2 linked regions of the Struthio camelus genome follow. The protein of the gene in region 1 purifies or fractionates together with the protein of each later gene. This does not show direct contact. Links are inferred from orthologs where the notes say so. Each region holds a gene or a part of one and is shown on either strand. Other genes may lie near its edges.

The links.
Region 2: the proteins of HSP90B1 (region 1) and CALR fractionate together in Homo sapiens (co-fractionation; 4 studies listed by BioGRID, with this or other methods). This does not show direct contact. The link is inferred for Struthio camelus from reciprocal best matches to the Homo sapiens genes HSP90B1 and CALR.

The regions. Positions count from the first base shown.
Region 1 is NC_090942.1:62,746,350-62,753,942, reverse strand, and holds the start of HSP90B1 (endoplasmin), read left to right. Parts: upstream 1-4,587; 5' UTR 4,588-4,701; coding exon 4,702-5,128; intron 5,129-5,677; coding exon 5,678-5,777; intron 5,778-6,482; coding exon 6,483-6,624; intron 6,625-6,713; coding exon 6,714-6,830; intron 6,831-7,236; coding exon 7,237-7,568; intron 7,569-7,593.
Region 2 is NC_090972.1:4,290,576-4,297,899, reverse strand, and holds the start of CALR (calreticulin), read right to left. Parts: upstream 3,002-7,324; 5' UTR 2,902-3,001; coding exon 2,805-2,901; intron 121-2,804; coding exon 19-120; intron 1-18. Other genes in the region: FARSA (phenylalanine--tRNA ligase alpha subunit), read left to right, coding at 3,773-3,934, 4,018-4,155, 4,238-4,336, 6,750-6,868, 6,950-7,042, 7,148-7,276. UniProt on the Homo sapiens protein: Calcium-binding chaperone that promotes folding, oligomeric assembly and quality control in the endoplasmic reticulum (ER) via the calreticulin/calnexin cycle.

The DNA.
Region 1 (7,593 bases):
GCTAACATCCTCACATCAACAAGTGATAGATCTGACATGGGATGTCCAGATCTTCCGTGCTACTGATACACTCTGGGAAGAGTCAGACTCAGTGTTATAGCAAGAGCAGCTCTATGGATCTTCAGCGGCTATCTGGCTGAGCTGCACAGATATACAGCTGCGCAAACTGCCAAATTTCAGAAACCCAGGAAAACCAGGTCAAAAGCAGGAGGTGAGACTACTGTAACTAATAGAAATCTACTAAACAGCCACATCAGGGAAGCTGACAGGCCTGCATTTATAGTGAAAAAAGTGAAGAGGTTGTCTTCTATCTGAACATCAAGGTCGGACACAAACACTCTGTGCTTACTGTTTTCTTTCACATATGCATAATTCAAAGAACCACAAGCTCTAAATTCCACTTCACCTACCTTTTTCATACCGCACTCATGTGAGTTCTGAATACAGAAAATATACCTATACCTAATAGGTTACATAAATTATGACTGGGAAAAAAAGCTCTAATATTAATAAAACTATCTGTGTGATTGTTTCTTTGGGAAGAACAAAAGATTTAAAAAACAGGCTTTAAAGAATCTGTGTGTTACGTTTGTACATAAAGCCGTAGACTATTTGAGTAGCCTTTCACAGTACCGGAAGGAAAGCAGCACAGGAATCCTTTCAGTTAGAATATTAAGAATCCTCTTTCGTGCAGATTAATAGTTCTGAGACTAAATAAGTGGGTAGTGGGTGGAAAATGTATTTCTACTAATTGAAAGAAGACTGAAGTCAAAACATGTTATTTTGTTCAATAGTTGTTCTTGATAAAAAGAAAGCAGGTAAGAATAATCATAGCATAACCATTTAGAAAGGCACCATTATTTACAAACAACAGTATTTTAATCTTGCTTGTTTGTAGTTACTGTTAATATTTTCTAAGATTCGGATAACTGCCTTGAAAAGCCACCTAATAGCAGCACTTTTTGTTTTATATACTCAAATACTCAGTCCCAAATATTGTCAAGCATCTTTAAGAAGCAGATATCTCTCCAGTTTGTTTGTATTTACAGTATTTAGCCCCTGAAGCAGAGGCTGCAGAAGGGAAGGAATGCTAACTCTTGATTTATTGTTTCAGTAAGGATACAAATGAAGCTCAAATTACAGAGAATTCAAATAAGTAATTCTTAGTATTTACAGTGCATGATAATGCAAGAAAGCCAAGGCTTAATCTGGTGGTACAAATTTCAGGCTGCATTAGTTATTCTAAAATAAAATCACTCATTTTTCTTTATCAAAACCAGTATGACAGTACAGGCCTTACTAGCAGTGACACAAACTTGAGCATTTTTATTGTCCATGAATAAAAATGGAACTTGCATTAGTTACAAATTTCAATTTGCCTGTGTGTTAAAAGAGGAAATATTCTGCCAAAGCAAACTCATTGTTCAGTTTTATGGTTTCTTTACATTTACACTCGTGTACAACGTCTTTGCTCTCTGTAAGTTACGTTCCAGGATTCCAGAAGTGGTGGCTCGACCCACCACCAGCAAAAGGAGAATATCGCTTTCTCCTAGTGATTCCTGCTCTTTACCTTGCTCCAGTCTGGGGCACATCAGACCCAATATAAGCTGATTTAACTAGAGGGTATTTTGCTGGCCCAGAGGGTTAAATCAGCTCAGGAAAGAGTCTGACACATGCCACAGCCAGTGCAATGAAAGAAGGACTGTCTCTATTTATTACAGATGGAGCCAAGGGAGATTAGCTGGCTAATTTAGCCGGTTAAGTCAAATACCTAAAGTTGGATCGTGTGAACACCTCTCAATTTATCTCTACAGCTATTTCTGGCAAGCTAATACTTCTTGTTAGCTACAACTCCTAGTTGGAATCATGTGGCACGCTTCAGTTAGCAGACCAGACTTCCCCAAGGACAGGTGGATGAGCTGATAATGGTGTATTCTGAGCGTTGGAGAAAGACTTGCTCTGCTATTTGCGTGGAAAAAAAAATGCTGCCTGTACTCTGTTTCTTTTATCACCAAATGCCCCAGCATTTTTAGTTATAAGAGAAAATATAGCACTTAAGTATACTCTTTAAGTTATTATGCACACAATCGTCAAAAGTATATTTGACGGCTTTAAAGTATTCCTTAATGTAGCTAAGTTCCTCCACTAAAGAACTATTACTTCTTAAGAGTTATACCCTTACTTTGGTGTTAAATCCTGAAAAGTGATGTCCAGACTTATTTTGAATGGCGCTAGTGGTCAGTACAACTAAGATTTAAAAATCTCCCCGAAGAGTGACAAAAAGAGAAGAAAAGCCATCCAGCTTTGCATTAAAACTCCAGTAACAGCAGTATTCGATAGTTCAAGTTAAGAAAGAACTTTTAATGTCATAATATAGTTTAAAATTAGGTAGAAGAAACAATTTTAGCAGTTCAGTATGCAGTCAAAGAAGATACTTTCTTCAATTGTCAGACTGTGCAAAGAAATCAAATTGTCTTTGTGAGAGCGCAAGTACTCAGCCTCCTCATTCTTAGGTATCACTTTTGTCCTGGGTAATCCAACCAGGCTTTAATGAAAGCAAACAGTATAACGTACATAAAGCAATCAGTGCAGCTAAGTACATCACACTTCTTACTAGTTTCTGACCTCTAAATGCAAAGGACAAAACATAGGTTTATTAGGTTTCCTATCTCCTTCAAAAACATCATTCTAACTTGCATAATCGTGAGAGTAAGGAAACCAACCAAATTTGGATTCCACCAAACTTTATCTAAAATCTCTGTTGGTTTAGCAATGTCAATAACAGACAATGCGGGTGTGCATTCATGCTATTGCAGCTGCCAAAGTTCAAAAAGTTTGCAATGAAGTATTACATTTTCTCATTGCCAGGAAAGTAACCGCTAAAACAAAACTGCCATAAAATTTGGCAATGCAAAAATTCTTCAAGTTGGAAATCAGTTTACTCTGTGAATCTCTAACTCGTATTCACACTTGTAGAGTAACATATTTCACTCTAGGAATCATAGAGATATAATTAGGAAACCCAGTCCTGGAAATGTTTGTAGCTGACTTTTCGGAAAGACAAACTTTCTCCATTTAGATTTTAGAGTGACCAAGTTATATTTGCAGACTTGAAGACTGGAGAATATTTTCAATCAGGTAAGACCGGTCCTTGTAAAATAATTCTCCAAGTTCACATTGGTCTCCATAAAAAACCTGACAGGCTGTCTTTTACTCACAATCCTGACCCTGAGCTCTCTTATACTTAATTTATCGTAGTCTTTCTCACATACTTTTTGGAAAAGTAAATTTCCCTCTTATTTCTCTTATAATATTTGATCAGTGGAGCAGCAGCCTCTGAAGTAAAACTAATGTAACCGCAGATCATAGAAGAAAGCTTCATGGATTATTTTTAAATAGCTTTTTAAATGATTACTCTTGAACTAGAATCTTGGCCGCATTAAGAAGAACCCAAGGATAACCATTACTCACTGTAATACAGAGGCTCCTTTCTAAGGCTATAAACTTTAATCATCGGTAAAGGCACTGCACTGAGTTTTGAAGCCGGAAAACTAACTGGCCCGCTGTATAACTAAAGATGATGAGCTTAATTTTTCCGAAAGAAAATTTTAGCAACGTGCGGATAGACTAACTTGAACGCTTGTCAAGTTATTCAATACACTGGCCTTACCTTTTATACTGAACATCTCAGATCAATAGTTTTCAAACACATTCCTCTGCAGGTACAGAGTTCATTACATCATTGGTGGCCAGGTATTTTTTTTTTTTTTTAATCTTCTTGGCAAGCTAATGTTGAACACGACAAAACGGGTGCCCGGCACGCGAAAGCTAGGGCAGGCTTGCACAGGAAAGCAAGGGGGAACTTGTACGGGCGCTTCAGGCAGCGGACCAACCTACAAAACGTAGTCGGTTACATGTGATCACTTGTGAACCCTCATTGCTTAAGAACGTCCAATTTTTCAACGGCAGTACGCTTCCGGCTTTGCACGCAGTGTTTGTTCTTCCTTTTAAAAATTCGTATGCCTGAAAAATATTCATAGTCTCCCACCTCCTCCCAGCCTTGACCCGACGGCGCAGGCAACGCGGACCTCTCCCCTGTCAGGCCCAGCCCTCACACGCTGCTCTTAGACCAGTCGGCCTCCGGTGGGGGAGGGGCGGGGCGGGGGGCGGGGCGGTAACGGCCCTTCCCCTCCGCCGCGCCCCACCCGCGGCGGCAGGGGGTGCCGCCCCGCCCCCGCGCACTACCACTCCCGGCATGCCCCGCGGCTCGCCCCGCCCAGCATCCCGCCGGCCTTTGCGGGCGGCGGGAGCAGGCCCCAGGAGCCGGTGCCCCAGCCGCCGCTGAGGGGTGGGGACGCCCCGCCTCTGCCGGGCACGGCGGGTCACAGCCGGCGCTGTTGCCGCTTCTCTGCCGCACGGTTTAACGTCGCTCTCCGCGTGCTCCCCTGTCCCCCCCCACCCGCCCGCCTGCCGCCTCGGTACCTCGGGGTGCGGCGGGCCGCAACGACCGGAAGCGCTCGTTGCCATAGCGACTGTCTCTACGGTAAACATTCCGGGTGCCCCCGGAAGCGGTTGGCGTCGCTCTGCCCATGTGGAGATTTTTCTTCTCGCTCCTCAAGTGCGGCCGCGCTCGCTGCGAGCCACGTGGCCTCGGTGTTAAACATTTATGGCTTCTTCATTAAAAAATTATGCTGGAAGGCCATGCGGCCTAGACCCGTCCGTGGACATGATTGGCCAAACGCACCTCCCCCCCAGCCAATCGGGGCCGGCCACGCTCTGCCCGCAGGAAACCGCACATGGAAAGCCGCGATTGGCGGCGCTGGCGCCGGGCCCCACCTTCCCAGCCTGACCATTGGCTGCGTGTTTGGCGTGGTACGCTCTGATTGGCCAGTCCGGGAGAGCCTTTCCCCCCACCCCTGGGCGCCCCGCATTGATAAGGCGAAGGGGGAGGGCCGCGGCCGTCCCAGCGGTTCAGCGGCGCGGGGTGGCGGCGTCTGCGTGCGGTGGCGGCGGGCTCGTGAGCGCGAGTCAGGTGTCGCCCGGGGCTGTGCTCTTCTGCGGCCGCAAACCCGCGTCGCCATGAAGCCGGTGTGGGGGCTCGCTCTCGCGTGCACTCTGCTCCTGGCTGGTGAGTCCCGTGGCTGCTTCCTCGCCTATCGCCTTCTAGAAGCTTCTGCCGAGCGGCGGTTATGGGGGGGGGGGGAAGTCTCCCCCGGTGGCAGCTCCCGCTCCCCTTTCCTTGCTAGGGGAGAAGGAGTGGGCGGAGGCCGACGGGGACCCGGGTGGGGCCGTTGGAGCCCTGTCGGCGTAGAGGGTCCCTTTGCTTCAGCGGTCGCTGTCCCAGCGCCTTCCCCCGCAGGTGTAACAGAGGGGAGGGCGAAGTCGTGCTTGTTCTTGTGTCCTGCTCTCTCCTGAGCTGCTGTTGGCCTCCCCTAGGGAAGGAGGTGGTTGGGGGCAGGGGAAGGTACGCGCGGGACTGCTCATGCGCTGTTGGGGGGGGGGGGTCCAATCCCTTTCCTCCCTTTCTGATGCCCCTGAGTGGGGTAAGCTTCCCCCAGGGATGGGTGGAAGAATGGACAGACCTGAGTCTGAAAATTTTTGTGACTGGTGAAGAAGAGTTCTCTAGTGGTGTGGAATGGGATTCTGGTCCATCTTGTTGGAATTCTTGCTTTTCCAGTGTCAGTTAGAGCTGATGAAGTGGATGTGGATGGGACCGTAGAAGATGACTTGGGTAAAAGCAGAGAAGGATCTCGAACAGACGATGAAGTTGTTCAGAGGTTGGTAGCTGGAAGCGTGGATTAGTTACTTCTGAACTGTTAAGGCTATTCTAATTATTTTAAGGGTCAGTTTTTATACCACTAATGCCCAAAGTATAAAAGGTGGTTTTGGGGCGGGGGGGGGAGATAACCCTTCAAAGATATGGTTTCATTAAGCTGGAGAAATTTAGTCAGGTAGAGGAACAGTAGAGTAATATCTATTTCTGAAACTGCTCCTCTCTTATGAGTAGAGAAGAGTCTGAGGTAACTGTGTTCAGAAATACTTTGTGTAATAGCAGTAGTGGCATAAGAGCAGGTCAACAGGGGTTTTTTCTTGCATGTAACTGCACGTGGTAAACAATATGAGTTCCATGCCTACCGATGGCATAGGTTTGTTTGTTTTTTTTAACTGTGAAACACTTAATCTTCTGTAAAGTGTACTGTGTGCTGAGAGTTACAGTGATTGTAAAATGCCTGTATTCTTCCTTGTGTTTTTTATAAAAGAAAGTCTGATTTGCGAGCAGGATTTTTCACTTGAGTCTTAACTTGGGTTGGGGTTAAGCAGTAGAGGATGGCTACTGTTGCACGTATCTGATGTGGGCATTTAACTTTATGCCAGCTGTTTTGGTAATTCAGGGTCTCATTGGTGATGTGACATTGAAGTCTGTTGCTAGACTGGAAAAAGAGTGGTACTGTATATGAACAAGTTTTCCATTGTTTTCACAGAGAGGAAGAAGCTATCCAGCTAGATGGCCTGAACGCATCCCAGATAAAAGAAATCAGAGAAAAATCTGAGAAGTTTGCATTTCAAGCAGAAGTTAACAGAATGATGAAACTTATTATCAATTCTTTATATAAAAACAAGGAGGTTAGTGCTTTTGTCAGGAGAACATCCTAGGACCATTTGTGTGTGTGTGTGTGTGTTTTTGAGTCCTTGACTACTGATTTCTATTTCAGATTTTCCTGAGGGAACTTATTTCAAATGCTTCTGATGCTTTAGACAAGATAAGGTTAATATCCTTAACTGATGAGAATGCTCTTGCTGGTAATGAGGAACTTACTGTCAAAATCAAGGTAAGAAGCATGAGATAACCGTTTTATCTGATCCACTGAGGGGCAGTAGAAGGAATAAAAGGAGGTAGTACCTCATTAAATTATAAGTTTATTGCTTAATACTGATGCAAACACAAACTATGAGCGCTACATCCAGGACACTTGCAGTTTGCTTCACCAAAGATTGCTGCTTTTTTTAGTCTACTGAAAATATGTCTCTGATTTCATAAAAAGTAGTTGAAGTACTGAAGTACCTCAAAGGCAGGTTTTCCTTACTCCTCTACTTACTGTCAGTTCAATTTATCACAGCCAGGCAAGTTTAACTTGAATGATTAGCTGCTAGTCTCCTTATCACTCTTTCACAGTGGTGTATTGCGCCTAAAGGTGTGCAAAGGGACGTCCAATAGAATCTTTTCTCTCTTTTCAGTGTGACAAAGAGAAGAACATGCTTCATGTTACGGATACGGGTATTGGCATGACAAAAGAGGAACTGATTAAAAACTTGGGTACCATTGCAAAGTCTGGTACAAGTGAATTCTTAAACAAGATGACTGAAATGCAGGATGATAGCCAGTCAACATCTGAGTTAATCGGCCAGTTTGGTGTTGGCTTTTATTCTGCTTTCTTAGTAGCAGACAGAGTTATTGTCACATCAAAACACAATAATGATACGCAACATATTTGGGAGTCAGACTCAAATGAGTTCTCTGTGATTGATGACCCAAGGGGAAACACTTTAGGACGTGGCACAACTATAAGGTAAGTGTTAAGTCTGTTTTCTTAG
Region 2 (7,324 bases), on another chromosome or scaffold:
CAGCAGCCGGCACCTCACCTTTATCCTTCTCGGCGTCGCCGTAGAACTTGCCGGCCGTGAGGATGAACTTGCCGTAGTCCGACTTGTGCTTGGATTCCACCCACCGGCTGCTCCAGGCATCTGCGGAGAGGGCAGAGGGTCAGGGAGGCGCCGGCCCGCGCTCGGCGCGGCCCCGCGTGACCCCGGGTTTCCCCCTAAAGGCGGGAACAGCCCGTAAGAGCCGAAACCCGACCGAGCGCTGGCCGCTGCCGGGGGGGGTCTCCCTCGGCACCGAGGGCTCCCCCCCACCCAGGGAAGGGTCGCTGTGGAGGCAGCCGCCTCCGCGGTGGAGCCGGGCAGCCGAAACGCGGCGGCTTCAGGGCTAGGCAGCGTTCGCGGAGGGAAGAGGGAAGCAGGACGGCTCCAACCCCGCTCGGGGAGACCGGGGCGGGGGGAACGGGCCTCGGCGCCGGGCTCGTCCCCGCGTCCCCTCCGGCCCGGCGCTCTGCCCGCAGCGGCCGGGGATTGAACGCGCCCCTAGAGCTGAACGGGGAACAGGCCGGCTTCCTGCCACCTGCACGGCCCGGCCGGGATCCGTCACACTCCGGAGGAGCCCTTCGATACAGGCCGCCCACCTGCGCCCGTGAGGCACGGCAGCACCCGTGACGGCCCCCTGCGTCCCCCTCCCCGGCGCCCTGGCGGGAGGCCGGAGCTGCCGGGGAAGGTCTCCGCGGTGGGGTGGGCTCGGCTGTCGCAGCGCCGCCGCCGCCGCAGCAGGACTCGGGGCCGATAAACCACAACGGGAGCCAGCTCCTGTCCTGCCTCCCCCCCACCCTGTGGGGGAACATCCCACCGAAAGCCCTGCTGTCCCCCCCCTCCGGCTCCGGGGTGGGGGGAGAAGGGGACAGCTCTGCCCTCAACAGCCCCATCCAAAGGCCTTTTGTTCCCCCCAGCTCTAGGGGAGGCCTCACAGCCCCCGCAGCCCCCCCAAAGCCTTACCCCTTCCCAGAGGCCTCTCAGGCTCCGGTGTCTTCCCCAGGACCCCCAGGCCCAGGGAGCCTTATGCCCCCCCCCACCAAGGCCTCCAGCCCTTCCCAGACACCTTGCAGCCCCTCACTCCTTCCCCAGGACCCCCAGGCCCAGGGAGCCTTATGCCCCCCCCACCAAGGCCTCCAGCCCTTCCCAGACACCTTGCAGCCCCTCACTCCTTCCCCAGGACCCCCAGCCCCAGGGAGGCCTTAGGCCCCCCATCAAGGCCTCCAGCCCTTCCCAGACACCTTGCAGCCCCTCACTCCTTCCCCAGGACCCCCAGCCCCAGGGAGGCCTTAGGCCCCCCCCACCAAGGCCTCCATCCCTTCCCAGACACCTTGCAGCCCCTCACTCCTTCCCCAGGACCCCCAGCCCCAGGGAGGCCTTAGGCCCCCCCCATCAAGGCCTCCAGCCCTTCCCAGACACCTTGCAGCCCCTCACTCCTTCCCCAGGACCCCCAGCCCCAGGGAGGCCTTAGGCCCCCCACCAAGGCCTCCAGCCCTTCCCAGACACCTTGCAGCCCCTCACTCCTTCCCCAGGACCCCCAGCCCCAGGGAGGCCTTAGGCCCCCCACCAAGGCCTCCAGCCCTTCCCAGACACCTTGCAGCCCCTCACTCCTTCCCCAGGACCCCCAGCCCCAGGGAGGCCTTAGGCCCCCCACCAAGGCCTCCAGCCCTTCCCAGACACCTTGCAGCCCCTCACTCCTTCCCCAGGACCCCCAGCCCCAGGGAGGCCTTAGGCCCCCCACCAAGGCCTCCAGCCCTTCCCAGACACCTTGCAGCCCCTCACTCCTTCCCCAGGACCCCCAGCCCCAGGGAGGCCTTAGGCCCCCCACCAAGGCCTCCAGCCCTTCCCAGACACCTTGCAGCCCCTCACTCCTTCCCCAGGACCCCCAGCCCCAGGGAGGCCTTAGGCCCCCCACCAAGGCCTCCAGCCCTTCCCAGACACCTTGCAGCCCCTCACTCCTTCCCCAGGACCCCCAGCCCCAGGGAGGCCTTAGGCCCCCCCCCCCCACCAAGGCCTCCAGCCCTTCCCAGACACCTTGCAGCCCCTCACTCCTTCCCCAGGACCCCCAGCCCCAGGGAGGCCTTAGGCCCCCCCCCCCCCACCAAGGCCTCCAGCCCTTCCCAGACACCTTGCAGCCCCTCACTCCTTCCCCAGGACCCCCAGCCCCAGGGAGGCCTTAGGCCCCCCACAAGGCCTCCATCCCTTCCCAGACACCTTGCAGCCCCTCACTCCTTCCCCAGGACCCCCAGCCCTAGCTCAGGGCAGACACAGATGTCCTTCCCACGACCCTCATGCCCAGACCAGGCCTCTCAGCTCCCTATATCCATCCTGTGACCCTCATCCCTCCCACCCCAAGCCCTCAAAAGACCTCTCAGGTCCCCCCTTCCCCAGCACCCCCAACCCTACCTCAAGGTAGACTCAGCCCCCAAAAGACCCCTACAGCCTTCCTCAGACCCTCACCCCTCCCAGCCCCAGCTGAGGACAGACCCCTCAGGCCCTGCACCTACCCCAAGACCCCCAGACCAGGCCTACAGCCCCCCGCATCCCTCCTGTACCCCTAGGCCAGGGGAAGACCTCGCAGGCCCCACAGCTGCCCCAGGACCCCCAACCCAACCCGGCAGCCCCCCCCATGAGCCCCTAGGCCCTCATGACACCCCAAGACATCCCCTCTCCCCCCGACCCCCATCGCAGCCCCCCCCCAGCCCAGAGAAGACGCCTGGGGCCCTTCAGACGCAGCCCCACATCCTGCCTAGGGCCCCCCACCCCCAGCGGTGGGGCTCCCCCCTCACCTCCATCCCCGAACTCCTCCCGGAAGTACTGGGTGGGCCCCGCCGCCACCAGCCCCAGGAGGGCGCCGAGCAGAAGGGGGAGACCCAGGGGGCTCATGTCGCCGGGGGTCCCACACAGTGCGGCGGAGGCGCCTGGCCCTTTAAGACATTCGGCCCTGCCCGGCCCGGCGGCACCCAGACACTGCGGAGGGGGGCGGCGGCGACGCCCGCATTTATATGGCCGCGGCAGCTGGGCCCGCCCCTGCCCGCTCCCCATTGGCCCGAGCTCGTGAGGGGCTCGCTCCCATTGGCCCCTCGCCCGCTCGCCGGCTTCGGCGGCTCCCCCGAACGTTGGCGTCCCAGATGGCCGCTTCCCATTGGCTGAGCGCGGGGGCCAATGAGGAGCGACCACGCGTTCGGGGGGAGACGCCCCCCCCTCCCCCCGCGCTCCTGCCCTCCCTCCGCGCGCTGCGTCGCTCGCTCTCGGGGTCACGTGGGGCCCGGACGCTCTTAAAGGGCCAGGCTGCTGCGGAGCACGTGGGAGCAGGCGCTCGCCATCCCATAATAGCAGCAGGAAGGGGGAGAGGGGGATCAAGGTCGGGGGGGGAACCCAGGCATGTTGCTATGGCAACGGTCATAGGGTGGGGAATAAGCCTGCCGTTACAGCAACTGACTTCAGTGCAGCAAACTGTGGGTGAGGCTGGTTGCTGGGGAGGGGGGCTGGGCCTAGTGCCTGATGACGTCACGCTGACGTCCGAACACGTCACTCGGCCGCGGCACTCGGCTGCCTTCCTATCGCCAGCAGCCCCTTCCCCCTCCCCGCATCGGCCGCTTCGGGGCTTCTTGCCACACTCAAGATGGCGCCCGCGCCACTCTCAAGATGGCGGCGCTGAGCAGGTCAGCGGGCACGCCCACACCGGGCACGCCCCCTTTCCCCCTCAGGAGCACTTCCGGGTCGCGCGGAGGGAGTCCTTCCGGCGGGCGCCGCCATGTCGCCCGGTGTGGCCGAGCTGCTGCTGCGGCGGCTGGAGCGGGAGGCGCCGGGGCCCGGGCCGGGCGGGGGTCTCTGCAGCCTGGAGGCGGCCGCCGAGCTCGGCCTCGACCACCAGACGCTGGTGGGCGCCGTCAAGAGTCTCCAGGCGCTGGGCGAGGTGCGGCGGCGGTAAGGGCGGCCGGTAGCGGCGGCGGTGGCGGTGCCGCCGCCGCCGCTCAGGGCCGCCCGGTGCCGCCGCAGGTGATCGAGGCGGAGCCGCGGGCCGCCACCCGCTGGGAGCTGAGCGCCGAGGGCGAGGCGGTGGCGCGGGACGGCAGCCACGAGGTGCGCGTCTTCGAGAGCCTGCCCGGCGAGGGGCTGCCGCACAGCGAGCTCATGGTGAGCACCGGCACCGGGGGGGGGGGCCCGCGGGGGGGGGCCCGGCGGACCCCGGGCTGCAGCCGGCCGCTGCCGCCCGCAGAAGCTGCCCGGCGCCAAGGTGGGCTTCAGCAAGGCCATGGCCAACAAGTGGGTGCGGCTGGACAAGGAGGCGCCCGGCGGCCCCCGCGTCTTCCGCGCCGTGAGTTTGGGGAAGGGGGGGGAGAGGGGAGTGGTGGGGGGGGGTCTCCCTGTCCCCGGGGGTCCCCCGTCCCCAAGGCTGAGCCCGTCCCCGGGGGTCCCCTGTCCCCGGGGGTCCCCCGTCCCCGAGGCTGAGCCCGTCCCCGGGGGTCTCCCTGTCCCCGAGGGCCCCTGTCCCCAAGGCTGAGCCCGTCCCCGGGGGTCTCCCTGTCCCCGAGGGCCCCTGTCCCCAAGGCTGAGCCCGTCCCCGGGGGTCTCCCTGTCCCCGAGGGCCCCCGTCCCCTGTCCCCAAGGCTGAGCCCGTCCCCGGGGGTCTCCCTGTCCCCGAGGGCCCCCGTCCCCCGTCCCCAAGGCTGAGCCTGTCCCCGGGGGTCCCCTGTCCTCGAGGGCCCCCGTCCCTAAGGCTGAGCCTGTCCCCGGGGGTCCCCTGTCCCTGAGGGCCCCCATCCCCCGTCCCCAAGGCTGAGCCCGTCCCCGGGGGTCTGCTGACCCCAGGGATCCCCTGTCACCGTCTCTGAGGGTCCTCCATCCCTGGACTGAGCCCTTCCCCAGGGTCCCCTGTCCCCGAGGGTGCTGTGTCCCCACGCTCAGGCTGAGCCTGTCCCTGAGGGTCCTTCATCCCCAGGCTGAGCCTGCCCCCGAGGGTCCCCTGTCCCCGAGGGTCTCCTGTCACTGTCCCCGAGGGTCCTCTGTCCCTGGAGCGAGCTGTTCTGCAGGTCCCCTGTCCCCAAGGGTCCCCTGTCACTGTCCCCGAGGGTCCTCTGTCCCTGGAGCTAGCTGTTCTGTGGGTCCCCTGTCCCCGAGGGTCCCCTGTCACTGTCCCCGAGGGTCCTCTGTCCCTGGAGCAAGCTGTTCTGCGGGTCCCCTGTCCCCGAGGGTCCCCTGTCACTGTCCCCGAGGGTCCTGTGTCCCTGGAGCTAGCTGTTCTGCGGGTCCCCTGTCCCCGAGGGTCCCCTGTCACTGTCCCCGAGGGTCCTGTGTCCCTGGAGCTAGCTGTTCTGCGGGTCCCCTGTCCCTGAGGGTCCCCTGTCCCTGGAGCGAGCTGTTCTGCAGCTCCCCTGTCCCCAGGGGTCCCCCGTCACTGTCCCAGGGCTGTGCCTGTCCCTGAGGGTCGCTGTCCCCATCCTGTTGCTGTCCCTAGGCTGAGCCTGTCCCCAAGGGTCCCCGGTCCCGGAGCTGTCCCCGTCCCTGAGCGCCCCCCCATCCCCAGGGGTCCCCTGTCACCATCCCAGGGCTGTCCCTGAGGGTCCCCCGTCCCTGGCTGTTCCTGGTCCCGAGGGTCCCCTGGCTGAGCCCATCCCAAGGGTCCCCTCTCCTCGTCCCCGAGGGTCCCCCACTGCCGTCCCGGGGCTGTCCCCGTCCCCGCGGGTCCCCCGTCCCGGGGCTGTCCCCGTCCCCGAGGGTCCCCGTCCCCGAGGGTCCCCCATCCCGGGGCTGTCCCCGTCCCCGAGGGTCCCTGTCCCCACGTGTCCCCCATCCCGGGGCTGTCCCCGTCCCCGCATGTTCCCCATCCCGGGGCTGTCCCCGTCCCCGAGGGTCCCCGTCCCCACGTGTCCCCCATCCCGGGGCTGTCCCCGTCCCCACGTGTCCCCCATCCCGGGGCTGTCCCCGTCCCCGAGGGTCCCCGTCCCCACGTGTCCCCCATCCCGGGGCTGTCCCCGTCCCCGAGGGTCCCCGTCCCCACGTGTCCCCCATCCCGGGGCTGTCCCCGTCCCCGAGGGTCCCCGTCCCCACGTGTCCCCCATCCCGGGGCTGTCCCCGTCCCCGAGGGTCCCCGTCCCCACGTGTCCCCCATCCCGGGGCTGTCCCCGTCCCCGAGGGTCCCCGTCCCCACGTGTCCCCCATCCCGGGGCTGTCCCCGTCCCCACGTGTCCCCCATCCCAGGGCTGTCCCCGTCCCCGAGGGTCCCCGTCCCCGCGTGTCCCCCATCCCGGGGCTGTCCCCGTCCCCGAGGGTCCCCCATCCCGGGGCTGTCCCCGTCCCCGAGGGTCCCTGTCCCCACGTGTCCCCCATCCCGGGGCTGTCCCCGTCCCCGCATGTTCCCCATCCCGGGGCTGTCCCCGTCCCCGAGGGTCCCCGTCCCCACGTGTCCCCCATCCCGGGGCTGTCCCCGTCCCCACGTGTCCCCCATCCCAGGGCTGTCCCCGTCCCCGAGGGTCCCCGTCCCCACGTGTCCCCCATCCCAGGGCTGTCCCCGTCCCCGCGTGTCCCCCATCCCAGGGCTGTCCCCGTCCCCGAGGGTCCCTGTCCTCCTTGCAGCATCTCCCTGGTCCTCAAAATCCCTCAGCCCGTCTTGCAGTCTGTCACCCCCCCCCGTCCTCGCACCAAGAGGCTCTGCCCCGGGCTCCCCCCCCACCCCATGACGGCGCCCCGTCCCGCGTGTCCCCCCCCCCGGCGGGGTCCCGTCCCCGCAGGTGGCGGCGGTGCAGGACGCCGTGCGGGACAGCCTGCGGCGGGTGCAGCGGGGGGAGGCCGCCAGCCTGCCCGAGCGCGACCGCGCCGAGCTCAAGAAGAGGAAGCTGCTGCTGGAAGTGTGAGCGGGGGGGGGCCGGGGTGGGGGGGGGACACACACATAGACCCCCGCTGACCCCCCCACCCCGCCCGCCACCCCCAGCACCCTCAAGTCCTACTGGCTGCGCAAGGGCAGCGCCTTCAGCACGGCCGTGGCCCGCCAGGAGACGGAGCTGACGCCGGAGATGATCGCCACGTGAGTGCCGCAGGGGGGGGGCTCCGCGGACCCCCTCACCCTGGGGGGCACCCGTGGGCCCCCCCGCCTCGAGCCCTGCTGCTGCACCCCCCCCCCCCCCCGCAGGGGCTCCTGGCGGCAGCGGCCCTTCAAGGCCTACAACTTCGCGGCGCTGGGGCTGCCGCCCGCCTGCGGCCACCTCCACCCCCTGCTCAAGGTGCGCTCCCAGTTCCGCCAGATCTTCCTGGAGATGGGGTGAGTGGCGGGGCGGGGGCGGGCAGGACGCCTGGGCCCCCGCGCGGG